2 linked regions of the Neurospora crassa OR74A genome follow. The protein of the gene in region 2 purifies or fractionates together with the protein of the main gene of each other region. This does not show direct contact. Links are inferred from orthologs where the notes say so. Each region holds a gene or a part of one and is shown on either strand. Other genes may lie near its edges.

The links. Proteins that work in one complex are often made in the same cells at the same time.
Region 1: the proteins of NCU09843 (region 2) and NCU01675 purify together in Saccharomyces cerevisiae (affinity purification with mass spectrometry, with the first as the bait; 3 studies listed by BioGRID). This does not show direct contact. The link is inferred for Neurospora crassa OR74A from reciprocal best matches to the Saccharomyces cerevisiae genes UTP15 and RRP12.

What each region holds. Positions count from the first base shown.
Region 1 is NC_026502.1:2,740,127-2,747,372, forward strand, and holds the start of NCU01675 (90S preribosome component RRP12), read right to left. Parts: upstream 2,305-7,246; 5' UTR 2,209-2,304; coding exon 2,137-2,208; intron 1,995-2,136; coding exon 1-1,994. Other genes in the region: NCU01674 (alpha-soluble NSF attachment protein), read right to left, coding at 2,722-3,136, 3,210-3,516, 3,605-3,728, 3,802-3,834; NCU01673 (hypothetical protein), read left to right, coding at 4,838-5,557; NCU01672 (DUF726 domain-containing protein), read right to left, coding at 6,165-7,246. UniProt on the Saccharomyces cerevisiae protein: In association with GSP1, required for nuclear export of both pre-40S and pre-60S ribosomal subunits. Required for the late maturation of the 18S and 5.8S rRNA of the pre-40S ribosomes and for maturation of the 25S and 5.8S rRNA of the pre-60S ribosomes.
Region 2 is NC_026505.1:5,919,291-5,930,182, forward strand, and holds NCU09843 (WD repeat containing protein 57), read right to left. Parts: upstream 6,944-10,892; 5' UTR 6,762-6,943; coding exon 5,091-6,761; 3' UTR 4,662-5,090; downstream 1-4,661. Other genes in the region: NCU09841 (phosphotyrosine protein phosphatase), read left to right, coding at 1-160; mak-1 (mitogen-activated protein kinase MKC1), read left to right, coding at 2,551-2,663, 2,787-2,919, 2,990-3,056, 3,122-3,436, 3,498-4,111; NCU09844 (amidohydrolase), read right to left, coding at 8,294-9,273, 9,338-9,524; NCU09845 (hypothetical protein), read left to right, coding at 9,874-10,251, 10,317-10,667. UniProt on the Saccharomyces cerevisiae protein: Involved in nucleolar processing of pre-18S ribosomal RNA. Required for optimal pre-ribosomal RNA transcription by RNA polymerase I together with a subset of U3 proteins required for transcription (t-UTPs).

The DNA.
Region 1 (7,246 bases), on a different chromosome or scaffold from region 2:
GTGTGCGCGGCAGAAGGCATGTGATCGGCCTTCTGCTGTTGTTGGGGCTTCTTCTCAACAGCCTCTTGAAGAGCCTCGGCGAGCTTCTCGCACACCATGTCGAAAGTCTCGGTAAGACGCGCGGGAGGGATGATGCTGAGGTAGGCGTTGATGGTCTGGAGGACAGGGCCGCGCTTCTGGGGGAGAGTGGTGCTGTAGACGTTGAAGAGAACAGCGAGGAAATCAGCTGCAAAGGTGGCTCCGAGGTACTCCAAGTTCTTCTGCGCCTGCTCCTTGCTGACCCTGCCAAAGAGAATGAGGTCATCGACCTCATCGGAAGTGGCGATGGCCTGGTTGGACTCAACAACGGTCCTGAGGGCGCGACAAATATCCAAGCGCAGGTCAACCTGCTCATACAAAAGGTTGGTCAACATCTCAGCGAAGCCTGTGTCAAAGGCCTCGACAAGATCAAGTGGAAGGTCGCAGTAGCCGGGAAGAATCGACCAAATTTGCTGAACAACAGTCTCGAAAATCTTGATGTGAATGTTCTTCTCGCCCTGGTGCTCAATCACACGCTGGAACATGATAGCACTGAGAGGAACCAATTCGCTCTTGAAGTGTGCAAGATTGGTGTTGGAGGTGTAGTCACGGAGAAGAGGAAGCATCCAAGCTCTGCCAGGCTGACCCTTGACGGGCTTCGCGAGGTTCAGGGGAAGAACATTCAAGACCGCCTCAGGACCCATTGCACGAATCGCCTTGCCAAGGACCTCGTCGGCTTCCTGCTTTCCAGCGAAAGAATCGTTACCGCGGATTTCGCCGATGCTCTTGACGACGGAAAGGAGGTAAGGGTTAGCCTGCCACCGAAAGGCATCGAACATGGCACCAAGAACGTTGAAAGTCTCCATCCAGGCAGCTTGGTACTGGACGGTGAGAAGGCCCTCGACAACCTTGACTAGTTGCTGAATGACCTTCTCGTCAAAAATCGAAGGCTCAAGGATGGCCTCCTTGGGGACACAGTTGGCCAGGAAGGAGACCAAGCACTCGGACGCCGAAACGCGAATATTCTTGTGCTGGGACTCGAGGTATCCTGCAACCAGAGTGAAAGGATCGACCAGCTCTTGGAAGGTCTCGGCGGGCGAAATCTGACCGGCAACATCGTAGGCTCTCGACAGAATGGCGATCCAGGGAGGGAGAAGCTGGGTATCGTTGGGCGCGGGACGGAGCTCTCTGATGATCTCGAGCAGCCGAGGAAGCTTGGCGGAGGCAACCTCGTCGGCGGCCATGCCCTCGAACATCATCTCGAAGATCTCGAAGACAGCCATGCTCATGTGCTCGTTGCCCGTCCGGGCAATGCTGAGAAGGAGCTCGCACAAAGACTCAATGCTCTTGCTGGGCCAGCCACCGCTTCCAGAGGCGACAGCCTTGACGAGTTGCAAGGCGTGGATAAGCTCGGGATCGTGGGTAGAGTCGGTAGTCTTCTTTTCCTTCCTCTGGGCGGCGGCCTTGTCAGCGACAAGACGGAGGCTCTGCATGGCTGTCTCGGCGCACATGGGGGCGGCGGGGTGGTCGAGAGACGGGCTCGGCGGAGGGTTCTTCAGGATGTTCCTGAGCGCTTCCTGGGCTCTCTTGCGGACTTTGGGACGCGGGTCGAGGGCAAGGGCGAGGAGGCCGGCCACAGCCCGGCGGGGGCCAATCTGGGCGGTACCGAGCTCCCACTGTGTCGCATCTTGAGCAAGGAGCAAGCTCTCGAGAGAGCCGATCGAGGCCCTCATGAGGGGAGCATCGGCATCGGGGAGGGATAGTACTGGCGCGAGGATGGTGATGATCTGAGTGAACTTGGCCTGAAGAATAGGCTTTGGAGCGAAGGGAGTGACGACATCGAGGAGGTAGACGACGGGGGTCGCGAGGTTTTCGTTGTTGAGTAGACTGAGAAGGGCAGCGAAGTAGGCGGTAGGAGTCGCGGGTGTATTGCGCTCCTTGAAGGTGGCCTCGATAGCCTCGAGGACACTGGCAGTCTGTGGCTCAAGTCAGGGTCCATTGTCCACGATGGAGGCGGCCTTGCGACAGGCCACTGCAATGGCAGGCTGGAAGGAAGAGGGTAGGGATGCAGAAGACAAAAGATGGAAAAAGGAGAGATGCATCATGACTCTGGCTTACCTGCTTCTGGCTCTGGAGATTCGGAGACCGAATCTTGTCCAGTTTCTCCTGCAAAGACGGAGAAGAAGCCATCGTGAATGTGATGGAATGGCGCTGGAGTGGGACAATGCAAGCCGCTTCGCAGTGCTGAAATCGATGTCATGAAGAACAGAAAAGTTCGAAAAGTTGTCGCTTATCGGCGCGCACGCCCCACCCGCTGTCATTGATAAGGGTCTGGCGCTAGTCCGAAGCGGCTCCCAACTGTAACTCCAGGGTTAGCTATGGCATCTCATGCTTATAGAGGTACCTATGTTTCGCTTGGGCAGCCATCAAGGTTATGAGATACAACAATTCATGTTGGATCGTACGAACAACGCGTACCCACTAGGAACAAGTTTCTATTGCTTTAAGCCCATCTCTACCCCAGACAGCAGGTTTGTTTGGGTCTTCCGTAAATCACCAAAGCGTCGATGACCGTATTCATGATATGACAGTTCATCCCCCTCCCAACCAGAAAACGCCGGTACGATAACAAAGAAAAGAAAAAGGAAAGAAGGAAACCAGAAAGTGATAAATGGCTGTATATCACAAGTTCCTCCACCCTGTTTATGAAAACTCGTTGTCTGCCTCCTCAAAGTTGTTCTTGATCTGGAGAAGAACAGCCGCCTTCCAGTCATCGAGCCGGCTCATCTTATCGTACGCGGCAAGCTTATCCTGGAACATCTCGAGGTTGTTGTTTGAGGCTGCTTCCAACAAGTCAACCAGGAGTTGGTATTCGCGCTGGCCCGTAAATGATGGGTCCTTCTCGGCATACTTGGTGATGTTACGCTGAGCAGTGACCATATCCTTGGTCGCCAAGGAGCAGAGACCGGCCTTGAGGAAGTACTCCTTGACCGAGTACCTCATCAGGTTGTTGCCGAGTGAAGCCTCCGCAACCTTCTCGAACTTCTCTATAGCGGCGAAAAAGTCGCCCGCGAGGGCAGAGAGGTCGGCCACCTTGAGCCACAGCTTGTTCGCAAGACTACACACAGCTGGTTAGAACGACCTGTTGGACTCGTAACATGGCGCAAAAGCCGTGGGCATTAATCACTTACGCGACAGCACCGTCGTTCTCATACCACTCGGCCGCAGTTGTATAGGCCTTGATAGCCTCTGGCTTATTCTGCAGCTCGTTTTCGTAGACCTCAGCCTGGTTCTCCTTGTGCGACGCAGCTCTCCGGAAGTTCCCCGCCATGGTATACTGCTTGATGGCAACCTCGACGCAGCGCACAGCATTATCCGGGGCATCTTTCCTATAGACCTTGAAGGCGTCCAACATGGCATTCGCCGCATCGTTGGGCTCCTTCAACTTCTCAGTGAAGATCTTGGCAGCTTCCTCGAAACACTTGCCGGCCTCGGTGTCTGGGTAGTGGGCAGAACGTTAGGACTTGCCGCGAGGTTCATATGGCCCGAAAGCGCATCGTGGGTGTTGATGATTGTGATGACGTACTTGACTTCTGCAACCTGAAAGCGTTGGCCGCTTGTATGTACTGATCCGCCGCATTTTGGTACTTGTCTTCCTTGTTTCCGAACAGACCCCAGCCTTTGGACGCGCTCGCGAGGGTCTTCTCTGCCTGGTGTTCGCATTCGGCATCAGCAAGGTGTCGCGAAAGTGTCAGGAGGTGCCAGGAGGGGCAGGTTTCAAACCTCTTGTTGGAGAACGCGCGGATCGACAGCCATGAAGGGCAAGTTATTAGACGGTATATAGATGGGCAAAGTTCTAAGTTGGAGTCGCGTCCGCTGTATGAAGCCGATTGATGGGTGTCCCAATTGTTCGGAATCGGGCGCGCTCGAAGAAGCTCAGGTGTTGGTCGGGATGGTGTCGTGTTGGTGGTTGCAGGAGCCCGAGGTGTTTCGTTGTCTCCCGGGGTAAGGTATGCGGGCATGGGATTGGGGGGTTGGCCGGTACTCGTGCTCCGCCCCCACTTTTTTGGGTCTCGCCAAACTCGCACCAACTAAAGTTGGTGCTCACGACTGCAACGGCCACACCAGCGCAACGGCCAGGTTAGGGTTAGAGGTGCAATTTCGGGCTTGATTTATAGGCCAGAAACATAATCTTTCTAATGTATTGGCTTTTCTAAGCAGAAAAATGCTTCCTATATACGATGTACTTCCCTAATTATACTTATAGTATTTTACTTATCTCAATTGGTTGTTGTGATGAGTTACAAGCTTCTGATATCTTGATGCTGAACTATGCTCACTATGGTGGCCGTTGTGGTGGTGTGGCCGTTGCAGTCGTGAGCACCAACTTTAGTTGGTGCGAGTTTGGCGAGATCCAAAAAAGTGGGGGCGGAGCACGAGTATTGGGGGGATGATCACTTTAGCGGGCTGTGATCGCTGATGCCGGCTCGCCAAGCCCTTGACGCCTGAGCAGGTTCCCTGAGGGCTGGTAGCTTGCCTGACCAAGTGGCCCGGTGGCAGGGGTCTAGCCTTCAACCTACCAAAGCTCAGCTATGACGCCCAATAGGTAGGTACCTCGCAAAGGATGTCTCGTCCTCTTTCATCTCAACCTCTCATATCGCGACATTTTACCAGAGCCTCACCTGAAACCACCCATTAAAGCATCAAATAATCTCCAAGCCACATCATATGCAAACCTCATAGAGCAACGCAAGTCAACATCTCCCTTTCAGCTATACTACCTTGAAAACCGAGGCATTTTCTTCCCATCAAGGCTATCATGACAACAAAAACCATCTGCCGCGCCTGCCACCGCGCAGCTCTTTCAACCTCCTCGGCCCTCTCAGCCTGCTTCAGCTCCAACTCCAGCCAGCCATCAACCCGTGACTTCTCCCGCTCACGATCTTTTACAACCGAAACCTTCCCTCAATTCACCGCCCGCGGCGGCTCCTCCAAACTCCCTCCACCATCACAAATCAGCCCATCAGTCATCCTCTCCACGCCAACCTGGTCCGTCCGCTCTCTTCTTCCTCCATCATCCACACCATCCTCGTCAACCCAACCCGAAGAAAGCGAAATAACCCCCCAAACTCTGCACCACCTCGCCCGCCTCTCCGCCCTCCCCCCGCCCTCCGCCTCCGACCCTGCCTCCACCACCCGCCTCCTCTCGGCTCTGCACTCACACCTGCACTTCGTGCGGGCCATCCAGTCGGTGGATACCACGGATCCGTCAGATCAAGCCAAGGAGCTGGCGCCCTTGAGTTCGATCCGAGATGAGTCTCCGGAGGGACTGGCGGACAGCACAATTGATCTGAAGATGCTTGAAGGGGCGCTGGCGGAGGAGGATATTGTTGGTCATTGCCTGCGGCCGAGGCGGAGAAAGATGGAGGAGCTGAAAGAAAAGAAGAAAAATGAGGCTGAGGATTGGGATGTGTTGGGATCAGCTGAGCAAAAGGTTGGGAGATACTTTGTTGTCAGGAGTGGGAAGAAGGGGGAGTAGATGATCAAGGGGAAAATGGCCGAGATTCGTCTCGCGCGCCCTGGAGAAGGCATAAGGGCTGTGGTCTGCGTGGTCTGACTATATAGGAGGGCTCTGTATCTGCTAACTGATGCCGAACGTGTGGAGAGCCTGGAAGATTTGGAATAGGACGGAAAACCTAATGCGTTGATACAACACGCGGGGCCGGGACTTTCAGGCCTTTCAGGGAACCGCGTCAGATGCCCAGCCTGTCTGTACTGGGAGTTCACGTCTTCCGAGGGGTATTCAAGGGACAAGAATCACTGAGTGAGGGACTACCCGACGCTGTTGCGATGCAAACGCCACACTACAATATTTGATTGCTGTATCATACTAAGTGTGCCCTACCCAGATGATCCACATCGGCCGCCAGAGATTACTCTGGTATAGAAAGCTAACTGAACTGAAGCTAATCCTACAATTATTTAGATAACGTACGAATTCTGTCTCATTTCTTATGAGCCCTGCGTTGCCACCCCCTTGTCGTTGTCATAACATAAACATGAGCAGGAACTTAGGTCCCAAGAAAGCCAAAGTTAAACGTTCACCAATTCCCCCTCCCCTCCTCCCGACGAGTCGAATTCAGCGTTCACCTCTTGTTCTTCTTCCTCATCCGGGTCCTGATAATACCCGGATCATTTTTTGCAGCTTCCTTCGCCTTGTCTATCACCACAATTCCACGCTCGACGGCGTCTCGCTTCTTCTCACGCTCTCGCACCCTTTCTTCTGCGGCTACCATGGCTGCCTCATCTCGGCTAACCTGCTCTTGGTTGATGTCCTCCCAGTTGATGTGCTTTAGGATGCTACCGGCGAGGTACTGGTATCGGAGATGTCCACTGACCTTAGCAGAGACATCAACATTCTCGACACCATCAATACCCTCGATCCGCTGCAAACCTGCAACGCCAAACTGGATGCTGCTCGTCCGATACAAGAAGCCCAACAGGTAATCGTTCTCTGAAAAGACATTGACAAGCCGGCCAGAGACTACGCTCCTCATGGTACACCAGACGCGGGCCTCCGAGGGTGCGGGCGTACCCATCATGACGGCGTTCTCGACAAGACCGAAAGCTCTGCGCTCCGCCAAGACCATCAAACAGACATAGATCGCACGGGCGCCGAGACTGTAACCGATCAGCGTCACTCCACGCTCTCCGTGGGCTTTGTTCATGATGGCGTCGGCGAGAAGAGTTCCGGCCTTGTCGGCGCGGACCATGCCGACGCTCCAGGGATTATCGATAATTTTGTTGATCTTGAGCAAGCCGAGTGGCCAAAGGGATTCCGTCATGCTGGTGAAAACTGGACCATGTTTGTTAGCGCGTCTCGAGAGGTTACACTTTGGGATATTGAAAGGAGGCTCACTGGTCCGAGCAATGATTTCCTTCTTTGCCATGGACCATGCCGAGCTCCTTACGACAGTCTCCAAAGCTGTACCCATCTTCGAGAGCGAGTCCACCTCCCATCGCACAGCGTATACCTCATTCGCCTGTCCTAAAGCCCTCCAGGGGTTAGTGACGTCCGACTCGTCGGTCAGCCATCCACTAATGGCCAGCACTACTCGGAGACGACGGGCATCTGGCTGGATTTTGCCAATCTCGCCATCTTGGCCAATAGAGCCGCGCATGGGGATGAAAGCGAAGTCCTGTATCTCCTTGGTACACTGCTCCATCA
Region 2 (10,892 bases):
GGTGATGCTCTTTGGCGAGTACTCGGGCACCGGCAAGGCCGAAGTCATCCAGGACCCGTACTACGGCGGCAAGTCCGGGTTCGAGAAGGCGTATGAGCAGGCCACGAGGTTCTCCAAGAACTTTTTGGGCGATGTCTTTCCGGATGTCAAGGCCGAGTAGAAAGTAGAAGATGAGCTTTCGTCGACCAAAAACTAGAAGGCAGGCGTTGAGGCGTTGGGATAGACTGCTGCTGTTGTTGTAGACCGAAGATAGATACCAGTTATGTAGACGTTGTCGTTTGTGCATGTTTCCTTTTGGTCGGATCTCTCCCCCATCACATCGAGGTAGCTGCCGTCGAGCCCCGTTACGTGTTGTCATTGCGAGAGTGAGTTGTCTTGGGTTCATGGACATCACTTCGATCGGGTCAACAGCGGCTTATAACCTCCTCATCACGAACGGAGGGAGCTCGGTGTCCGTATTTCGGACTTGCACAACGTCCAAAAGGGTCTACTACTCTGAGTGGTCTATCTACGATGATGCCGAGGTATTGTGAAGCTCCTCTCGGTGAAGGCGTCGACATCGCGGCCTATTCTGGCGACCAAGTCTATGCATCTAAAACTGCATCAGCCCTACGGCACTGGGGAAGTCCAGGAACGACCAGGGAGTCAGTGCGGCCACATGTTGTCGGCATCAGCCGGCCGGTTGGGTCAGGGGAAAACTGGGATCCTGTCCTTTCGGAAATCCTCCAATGCTGGTTGACGGCAGTTCACCATTAAAAAAAGACTGTTGGGAGATTATAATTCAAGGCGAGGGTTCGGAGAGGGCCCGCCGTCCGGACGGCCGCCGGATCACGGATGAAGCTCAGCCCCGGAGCTTGCCTTGCCCGGGCCCAGAGGTAAGCACTCCCAGGTCTTTCAATTCGGTGTTGTCCGCAAACCGTCACCTTGACGCCCTCAGTTAAAGCCAAGATCTGCCGAGGCATAGTGTACATGGACAATCAAACTTTATGATTTTCCACCTCGTTTAAGCAGCAAGCAACGATCCGTAAACAATGCGTTCCCCCTTCGAACTCATCGAGATGATGGTAGTGATGATTGCGAATCTTTTAGACGCCGGCCAGTGGGGAGGCGGCCGTAGTCGCGCGCCAAAACCAAAAATGGCCGCCGGAGGAGGGTTGCAAATCACAGCGGGGACGCAGCGGGTGGGGTAGAATCAGGTACCGTTCCCTTGTGATTTCCGCTGTGGAGTGACTTTGCAGTAACATTTGTTGACTGGGCAAGGGGAGACCGCCGCCCAAAACAGGCGCCCCCAAGCCAGGCGATCCCTCTGTTTGAATTCTCGGTGTGTTTTTGTTTTGTTTCAAGGCGGCAAGCATTATGGTAATGGCCTTGTTCTGTTTCGACGGGGGGGTGGTTTTTTATGGCTTTATAGTTGTTAATGCGATGCTCACGGGCCTAGATTTCATTGCATTCAAGGATGAGAGAGGCCGCCATTGTAAGCAATGGAAACTACCTAAGTCTTGGACGAGTTAAACGTTCAGCAATGAGTAGGTACTTAGTACCCCTGGGCAATGATGGATGGGAAAGTGGAAAGAAGGACAGGAAAAGAGGCAACCAGCGACAAGCCTGAAAACGGCCATCATTCGTCAGGAACCGACAAGCCGCCATTCGTCAGTCACGTTGGTTTGTTGCACTTTTGCGCCCGCTGACATTGGCGGGCTCTTGGGAATGGAAGCGGACCCCGCGTTGCCTCACAGACAGCCCCTCGCTCAGGTCCCGTTCTGGTGCCGGGATCAGCGCAGTGGTCGGTCGCATGGTCGGGGTCCCTCGGCGCCCCTCTTTCCTCTCCTCACCATTCCAGTGTCCGCTTCGAGCCCAGGGGACCTAGGTAGCCACTGCACCATTGAGGTCCACGGCCAAGCAGGTCCTTGACTTCGCTAAACACGAGCTTCTCTTCAAGCTCTCCCCTCGTCACTGCTCGTTTTCCACTTTCAATGATATCCATCGTCGGTTTAAACAACCTAAGCTGCTCGAATCCCGTCTCCATTGCTTCTCTTAAAATACGCCAACCGTAAACTAGCAATCAATAGCACCAAGTTGAAGCCAAAGCGCAAGCTCAGCTCCGGCCCAGTCAGCAAATTGCCCGAGTAGGTGGCACACATATATCCCATCACGCACTAGACTACAGTATCCCAGGGGCTTCCGACTCTTCAGTAGTGTACTTGTGCCAAGGACCACCCTACCCTCTGCAAACCTCATTTGATCATCACCACTTTTTTCCTCTTTCTTTCTTTCTCTCCATCTCTGCCTGGCTTCAATGCTACATTAGCCGGTTGTCTATTGCCTTGCTCCCGCCTTTTCAATCTACATCTTACTTTTGTCCCGTATACTCTTCCTCGACACTTCTCAAATACCCCCGTCCGAACTTCTCAAGACATTGATCGCGCTTGAGCTTACATACCCCACGACACCACCTCCAGGCCGTTGCCAAACTTGCGCCTAAAGGTCACCCGAACCACCTCTCTCTCCAACTACGAACCGTCCCCGAAACACCACACAGACACATTCGCCATGGCTGATCTCGTGGGTCGCAAGATCTTCAAGGTCTTCAATCAGGACTTTATTGTCGACGAGCGCTACACCGTCACCAAGGAGCTCGGTCAGGGAGCTTATGGCATTGTCTGGTACGTCCACCTGCTCCTGCTCCCGTTCCTGCTTAGCCGCTTGTGCTTTTGGGCCGCGGCGCATCTACATGTGTCATGCCATATTCTCATGATTCAAGCTGACCTCCCTTTCCTCCTAAACAGCGCCGCCGTAAACACCCAGACGAACGAGGGAGTCGCCATCAAAAAGGTCACCAATGTCTTCAGCAAAAAGATCCTAGCCAAGCGCGCCTTGCGCGAGATCAAGCTCCTCCAACACTTCAGGGGCCACCGTAACGTAGGTTGCTCACATACACATATTACAATCGATGCATGGTAGCTGACCGTGGCGATTTCTGGTTCTTTAGATTACCTGCCTCTACGATATGGACATTCCCCGGCCAGAGATGTTCAACGAGACCTATCTCTACGAGGGTACGTCATGGCTCATGCCTCACGAGAAGATGGGCCTACATACTAACCTGGGGGTTCTTTTGCAGAGTTGATGGAGTGCGATCTTGCTGCTATCATTAGGTCCGGTCAGCCACTTACAGACGCCCACTTCCAGTCCTTCATCTACCAGATTCTTTGCGGTCTCAAGTACATCCACTCGGCAAACGTTCTGCACCGTGATCTCAAGCCCGGTAACCTGCTGGTTAATGCCGACTGCGAGCTCAAGATCTGCGACTTTGGTCTTGCGCGTGGTTTCTCCGTCGACCCCGAGGAGAACGCAGGTTACATGACGGAGTACGTTGCCACGAGATGGTATCGTGCTCCTGAAATCATGTTGTCCTTCCAGAACTATACCAAAGCCAGTATGTCTTTTCCTCAAGCTGCCCCCTTGATATCGTTTTCAGGCTAACACTCATTCCTTAGTTGATGTATGGTCCGTTGGCTGTATCCTTGCCGAGCTTCTCGGTGGCCGCCCATTCTTCAAGGGCAGAGATTACGTCGATCAGCTGAACCAGATCCTGCACATCCTCGGCACACCGAATGAGGAGACCCTCTCCCGTATCGGCTCTCCTAGAGCTCAGGAATACGTCCGCAACCTGCCTCCCATGCCCAAGAAGTCCTTCCAGCAGCTCTTCCCCCAGGCCAACCCCGACGCCCTCGATCTCCTCGACCGCATGCTCGCCTTCGACCCTACCAGCCGTATCAGCGTTGAGGATGCTCTCAAGCACCCCTACCTTGCCATCTGGCACGATGCCAGCGACGAGCCCGACTGCCCTACCCCCTTCAACTTCGACTTTGAGGTTGTCGATGATGTCGGCGAGATGCGCAAGATGATTCTCGATGAAGTCTTCAGGTTCAGACAGCTTGTGCGCACCGTGCCCGGTGGTCAAGGACAGGGCGGTGCTCAACCCCAGGCTCCCGCTCAGGTGCCCATGCCTACTGATGTGCACAGCCAACAATGGACTGCTGAAGATCCTAGGCCACATGAGTATGGCGCGTACAACGGTGGCCTGGAGGCCGAGCTTGGTGGCATGTAAGCAATGACGGAAGGATGAAACCTTTCTATATACGATAATGAGAACGAAACGCTGGTTCGGCAAGCATCTGATGCTCAAACACATCTTGGGTTGATGCCTTGGCTGCAAAAAACAGAAAAGACGACGACATAGTATTATCGTGTTGGAAACCCCCCGAGAAGGGAACGGCTCGCCATTGAGGCGGTCTTCAATGACAGAGTGGGACAGCAGTTCTGGTCGGGCTGTCAACAGTCAGCCCTAGGAAGGCACTTGGAAAAGCAGGCGTCAGAGGCAGACCGGGAGTTCTTTTCGATGTCTGGCCAGATACCAGAGGGTGGTGAGTGGCTCACCGGAGAGACTCTTTCTGTATCTCATTCTATTCTCCTAGTCAGGAGGGAGGACTATGACTAAGTGGAAAGTTGAAGCGATCTTCAGCGAGGACTTTGGAGCGAGATGTTTACGTTGTCATTTATAGTCATAATTCTATTGGATACGCTGAATGTTGACACTGCAATAAAGCTCTTGATCGTGGTGGCGTCGTCCAGAAGAGTCCATGGTCACGCAATAAGCCTGGCATTTGGAATGGCTTTTACTGATTCTCCTAAGGTATCTATCTCGAGGTATCTAGTCCCAACCCCTTATTTTATGTGACCGTATGTATACTTTTGTGAGCCCAGATTAGTACAAAAAGCCAAAAAAGAATGTTTGAACGCCGACGCCATGCAGGGCTTGATATCAAGAAAAAACCATGATACCTAACCGAACCAAACCGAACCAACACATCCGGGATCCTTTACCCTCTCCATTTTTTTCCCCCTTCCCCGTCCTTCCTGCTTTGTGGTATAACAACACATCCCATCCGTTCTTTACATCTTTCTTATGCTCCATCCATCCACACAGCTCATCCGTATCTTTCCATTCCCTTTCCCTTCCAACCATCATGACCTTCTTCTGGTCAAACTGCAGCCTCAAGGGCCTTGTCCGAAGCTCGCTCAGCTTCCTAAGCCTCAGCACCACCAATCATCAAACTCTCCACCATACCATTCGTGATAATCGCCATCTGCGCCTTCTCCACCTCCCTGCTCACCTTACCCGTCATCACAGCAAACTGATCCGCCAACTCGGAGCTGCCGCCCACGTACTCGCTGTAGATATCAAACAGCTGGAACGCCACGTCCACGCACACGGTCGCGTACCGCGGATCCGAGATGTACTTGATGACCCACTTCAACAAAGGCAGGACAGTAACTTCGTCGCGGCCTTCCAGGGCTTCGCGGAGGGCAGACCGGTGGCGCAGCGCCACCAACACGGACAGGGCCGTCACGGGCTGGTATTCCGGAGAGGACAGGTCGAGCACGGCATCCAGACAGGCGGCGTACCGGCCCTCGCGAAAGTCGCGCTGCCACGGCTTGAGCTTGACGCGGCGCTTGCGGCCTCCGGCGGAGTTGGGCGCGTCGGTGGGGATGATCACGTCGACGTTTTCGCCGAGCAAGGCCATGGATTTGTTGGAGGCGGCGTTGCGCTTGCGCTTGGCTTTGGCGGAGTCGATCTTGGCGAGCTTGGAAGAGGCACCTGAAACCATGAGCGCGTCTTCGGCGGCGCGGGCGCGGGCTTTCTCCGCCGTGGCGCCTGACAAACGGGTGCGCAAGGACAAAACGCCGGATTGCATGCCGACTGCTAGGTGGCGGTCTTCGTGGCCTGAGCCAGCGGCGACGACGGAGAGAGAGAGGATGGGCGAGGGGTACTTGGAGCCGGAGACGACGTTCCAGTTGGTGGTTTCAAAGACTTTGACGTGCCCGTCGAGAGAGCCGGAGACAACGCGGCGGCCGTTGGAGGCGAGGCTGAGTGACGTGACGGTCTTTTGGTGGTTGGTGATGAGGCGTAAAGGTTTGGCGGCCACGAGGTCGAGGACGGAGATGGCGGAGCCGGTGGCGGCCAAGAGGGTGGTGCCGCCGGGCAAGGGGAGGACTTCCTCGATGGGGTCGGCGTGCTTGAAGGTCAGCACGGAGCCGGCGGGGGCGCGGGCGTCCCAGACGCGGACGGTCGAGTCGTAGGAGCCGGACACGAGGAGGTTGTTGCGGTCGGGCATGAAGGCGCCGCTGCGGACGTAGTCCTGGTGGCCGGCGAACAGGCGCGAGGGCGCGTTGGAGGGCAGGTCCCAGAGACGGACCGTCTTGTCGTCGGAGCAGGACATGAGCGTCGTCAGCTCGGTAGGTGACCACTTGGTGACCCAGACGGGCTGCTTGTGGACGTGCCAGGTCTTGAGGATGACGGCGCGGGTGCCGGTGCCGACGTCGAAGACCTGCATCTTGCCGGAGTCCTCGCCGGCTACGAGGACGCGGCCGTCGGCGCGGATCTCACCGCTGTGGGCCTGGGAGTCGAAGCGGCCGATGGTCTTGAGCAGCTCGCGCTTGCGGATGGAGAAGATGTCGACGCGGGGGCCCGAGGTGACGGCGAAGAGGTCGTTGGTCTTGGCGGCGGCGACGAGGGAGTGCGAGGCGGCCGAGCCGTTGCTGGAGCCGGGGAAGCTGATGTGCGAGATGGGCCATGCTGCCGTCGAGGTGTGTGATTTCTGGTTCTTGAAGGACTTCCAGTAGCGCTGCTCGGCCGTGATGGGGCTGACGACCGTGGGCAACTTGAGCGTCGCCAGCGGCTGCACTTCGGCTGCCATGGTTACGGATTGGTTATGGGTGGTAGGTTCGTTCCGTCTAGTTCGGGTAGTGTTGAAGAGAGGATACTCGGTTATCGGAATCGGGGGAAGTCGATTAGGGTCGAAATCGGATTGGGGGAGGGAGGCACGCGTCGAGGTCTTGTCGTGGTGGTGACTTTGCGGGGCTCAAAGTTCACGAATTGTTGAAATCTCCAAGTGGGAATTTTAGTTTTTTTGACGGCGATGCGATGCAAAAGCCATTGGTTGGAGCCATCGATTGGAGGCCCCGCCAAGCCGATAAAGTTTACCTACAGCGACTAGGTACCATAGTGACCAGCCCCAGGCCAGAAAACGCCAAGCTTCCAGGGTCCCGTCCTCTTCACAAGTTCCTTCTTTTGATTGGTCTGCTTGGGCTTCCATGTCGTGTGAATGTTTGGCGTTATCTTATCGTGCTGCATCCCCGCCGTCGTGATTGTAAGTCGTGTAAGTTGTCGCCTTTATCAACTGGAGACAGTCGACTGACATATAATTAATTGACTGGAGTAAAAATCCAAGAGTATTTTGATGCATGACACGCTCATTGACAATCATCATCTCCTCGGTATGTGAATCTATGATTAACATGTCATTAGGGATGTGTATCTGGAGCATTGGCCTCGAAATGGTAGCGAGTTGGTAGTCTAGTAACCTGTTGCTGACAACAACAACAACAGCGTGCGTATTGATGATGACTTGAATGTTTTATCTAGCCACAGATGTATTTATAACGAAGCGCGTATGAAAACTACTTGAACCATGAGCTAAGCTTAGAGTGAAGACGGAGAATATCAATTACAAGTCACAACCTTTTCTCTTTACACTCCATTCAGTCAATAACAAGCGCCTGGACAACTCGTATGAAACTGATAACGGTTTGTGCAACAAAAACACCAACGTCACAAGCCGGCTACTCGCAGTTTGTTTTTTTTTTTTTACTCGTGACTTTGAGATGAGAAAACAAAATCATCAAGAGATGAAAAGAAAAAGAAAAAAAGATCAAACTTCGGAGATCATCAAACGCGCTGGCTGCTCGTCGTGATGGAGAAAAGCAATGTGAAACTCGCTTCTCATCCGATCACATGATTAATTTCTTTGTCATGACTGCAACTCAGTTGCCGAGCAGATGAGGTTGAAGACACTGCACCCCCGAGGCGGATGACCGACGAAGGAGAAGGAACACAATGAAGTCTCAGGGCCACCAAAGTGTTCAGGTTGTCAAACTGAAGTTCTAGTCTTTATCTACAATCTGGTGCTTTAACATAGTTGGATAGTATAAGTTATGACGACGACGACGGGGAGGCCCGCTGATACCTACCCATACTGCTGCTGCTGCTAGAGACATGGTACTACTCCTACTCGAATTCTCCTTGAGACCTAGGCCTAGAGGTTTAGATCACGGCTAATTCATGATATAGATACAAGAATAGCGGACAGAGACATGCCGTGTATCCTTTCATTCCTTTTTTTATTTATTTTATTTTCTAACACCGTGAAACTATATTAGTAGTCGCGACCTAAGCATAGTAATTCTTTGATAGGACATTGCTTAAGCGAGGAAACAACTTTAACGCAGCCTCCGACGCAGCGGACTGGACAAATGCCTCGTCCTTTTCCGCGCCGTACCTGTCCAGTCTTGCGTTCATATCTGCAATAGCGGGCGACGGCGCATAAGGGAAATCGCTACCATACAGCACGTGGTCCGGCTTTGCGAACTCCTTTAACAGCGACAGAGTATGGGAGCCCGTCGACAATGCTGTATCAAAGTAGAACCGCTTGGCGTCCTCCATGAACTGGTTGGTAACGTCAGTCGGGTGGTGGCCCTCCTGTGCTGCTACTGCTGCTGCAACAATGGGGGGCGCAATCGAAGGTGGAAGGTACGGCAGTACCGCGGCTGGACGCAGCGCCAGGTAGGGCAAGGTGCCACCGGCGTGAGAGAGGATGATCTTTACGTCGGTGAATTCACGCATGATGCCCGAGATAATCAGGTCGACGGCGGTACGGGTAGTTTCGTGAGGATAGTCAATCATGGGCTGCGGAAGCGAGGGGTTGACCCAGTGGGTGTCCACGGGGTGCGTTGGGTGAACGAAGACGGTGGCGCGGCGTTTGTTGAGCAGGTCCCAGGTGGAGCGGAAGTCCGGGTGGCCTAGATAATGGTTGTCCGATCCGTAGCGAGTGTACAAGATGATGCCGTCGGCCTGCAACTCATCCAGCGCGTGGATGATCTCTGTATGGGCAGCCTCGGGGTCAAGCAAGGACGGAATAGTAGCGAAAAAGCCGTAGCGGGCTGGCTGGGCCGCACGGATCTCGGCGGCCGCTTGGTTAGCTTGTCGACAAAAGCCAGCCTGCTCGACGAGGGGGAGAATTTCAGCACCGGGAGCAGTGATGGTAAGAAAGGCAAAGGATATGCGTTGCTCGTCATTGAAGGACAGGTCCTTCTCCAGGCTCCAGTCCGGGATGGACCATCCCGAGGGGTCACCACCGTTAGCTCGTAAGGCTATGGCAACGTTAGCACTTCCATGGAAAAAGAAAAGAACGGATGCAAACCGCCTTGGACGCACCTTGTGCATAAAACTCCGGGACAAAATGGTGGTGAACGTCAATTCGTTGAGAAGTCATGTTTTCAGGGGCGGGCGCACGTGTTACGCTAGAGCACTGAACAGTCCGAGTTGGAAGAAAAAGAACCAGCAACTGGAGCAGGTTGGCGGTTGAAATTCTGGTCTGCATGTCGACGGGGTATAGTGACATGCCTCTGGGGCTTATATACCAGCGCGATATCACGTATACTTGTCCAGGATGTCGATAGTATGAGGATCTCGGAAAAGTGATGTACCCCAAGGTATCAATAGCTCGTATAGGGATCTCAGAAAAGTTGATATACACCAGGATGTCGATAGTATAAGTAGGGATCTCGGAAAAGTGTATACTCGGAATGCCGATGGTATAGGGATCTTATGCTATACCGACCTCCCAAACTAGTTGAAGATAAAAGAGGAAAATCGTCTATTCGATAACGCATTTCCCACACTCTTTTATATGTCCTCAAGCCTACCTAGAAACCCCTCTCAAAAAAACACCTTCACGACACAGTTGCATCATGTCCAAGCCGGTCATCGTCATCGTGCCAGGTGCTTGGCAGAAGCCCGTCGTTTGGAATGACCTTGTGCAACAACTACACACCGCAGGTTTCGAGGCTATCCATGTCGAACTGCGTACCGTTGGTAGCACAGCGACGCCTCTCCACCGTCTAGCTGACGACGTTGCAGCGGTGCAATACGTGCTCGGCGAGCTTGCCCGCCAGGGCAAGACAGCCTTGTTGTTGGGTCATTCCTCCGGTGGCCTAGTTGGCAGCAACGCGATAAAAGGCCAGGACAATGTCATAGGCATGATCTATTTGGCCACCTTCGCGATCCCTCATGGCAAGGCTTTGCTCGATATGCTCGGTGGAAAACCTCTCCCGTGGATGGAATACAAGGTAAGTCGGTCCGCCATTGTGTGTGAGTCTCACGTCAGCTGCAACTATTGCTAACTGATCAAAAGGGCGACCGGGTTTTCGGGCGTCAAGAAATGTTGGCTGACGTTATGTTCAACGACCTCAACGCCGAAGAACAGCAGAGATGGATGACCGAGATGACGCACACGTCAGCCGCGCTTTTCGCAACGCCCAGTGGCTACGAGCCTTGGAAGGATGGGATACCTTGTGCTTACATCTTTTGTGCCAAGGACCATGCGCTACCACTGGCCGCCCAGCAGAAAATGGCGGCGCAACTTGGACCAGAGGCCAAAGCCGTCACGCTTGAATCAGGCCACTGCCCTTTTCTGAGCATGCCTGAACAGCTGGTAGATGCTATTCAAATGCTCGAAGCGCAAATGCGAGGGACCTATTCATAGACCGCACCGTTTCTAGCCTTCAAGACTCCGCCAGTCTCTCTCTTCTCCTCTCCACTCCACTCCATAGCAATCAATGGATCTCGTTGACGATCCCATACTCTTAGTATAATTTGAAAAAGCGCAGTACAGGCCAGCCTGTCTGTAAGAACATGCTGGCTCAGGCTGAATGATCATTTTCGTTTCATGGACTTCATCGCGTCCACCGGCGCCGTTCTTTCGGAGCAA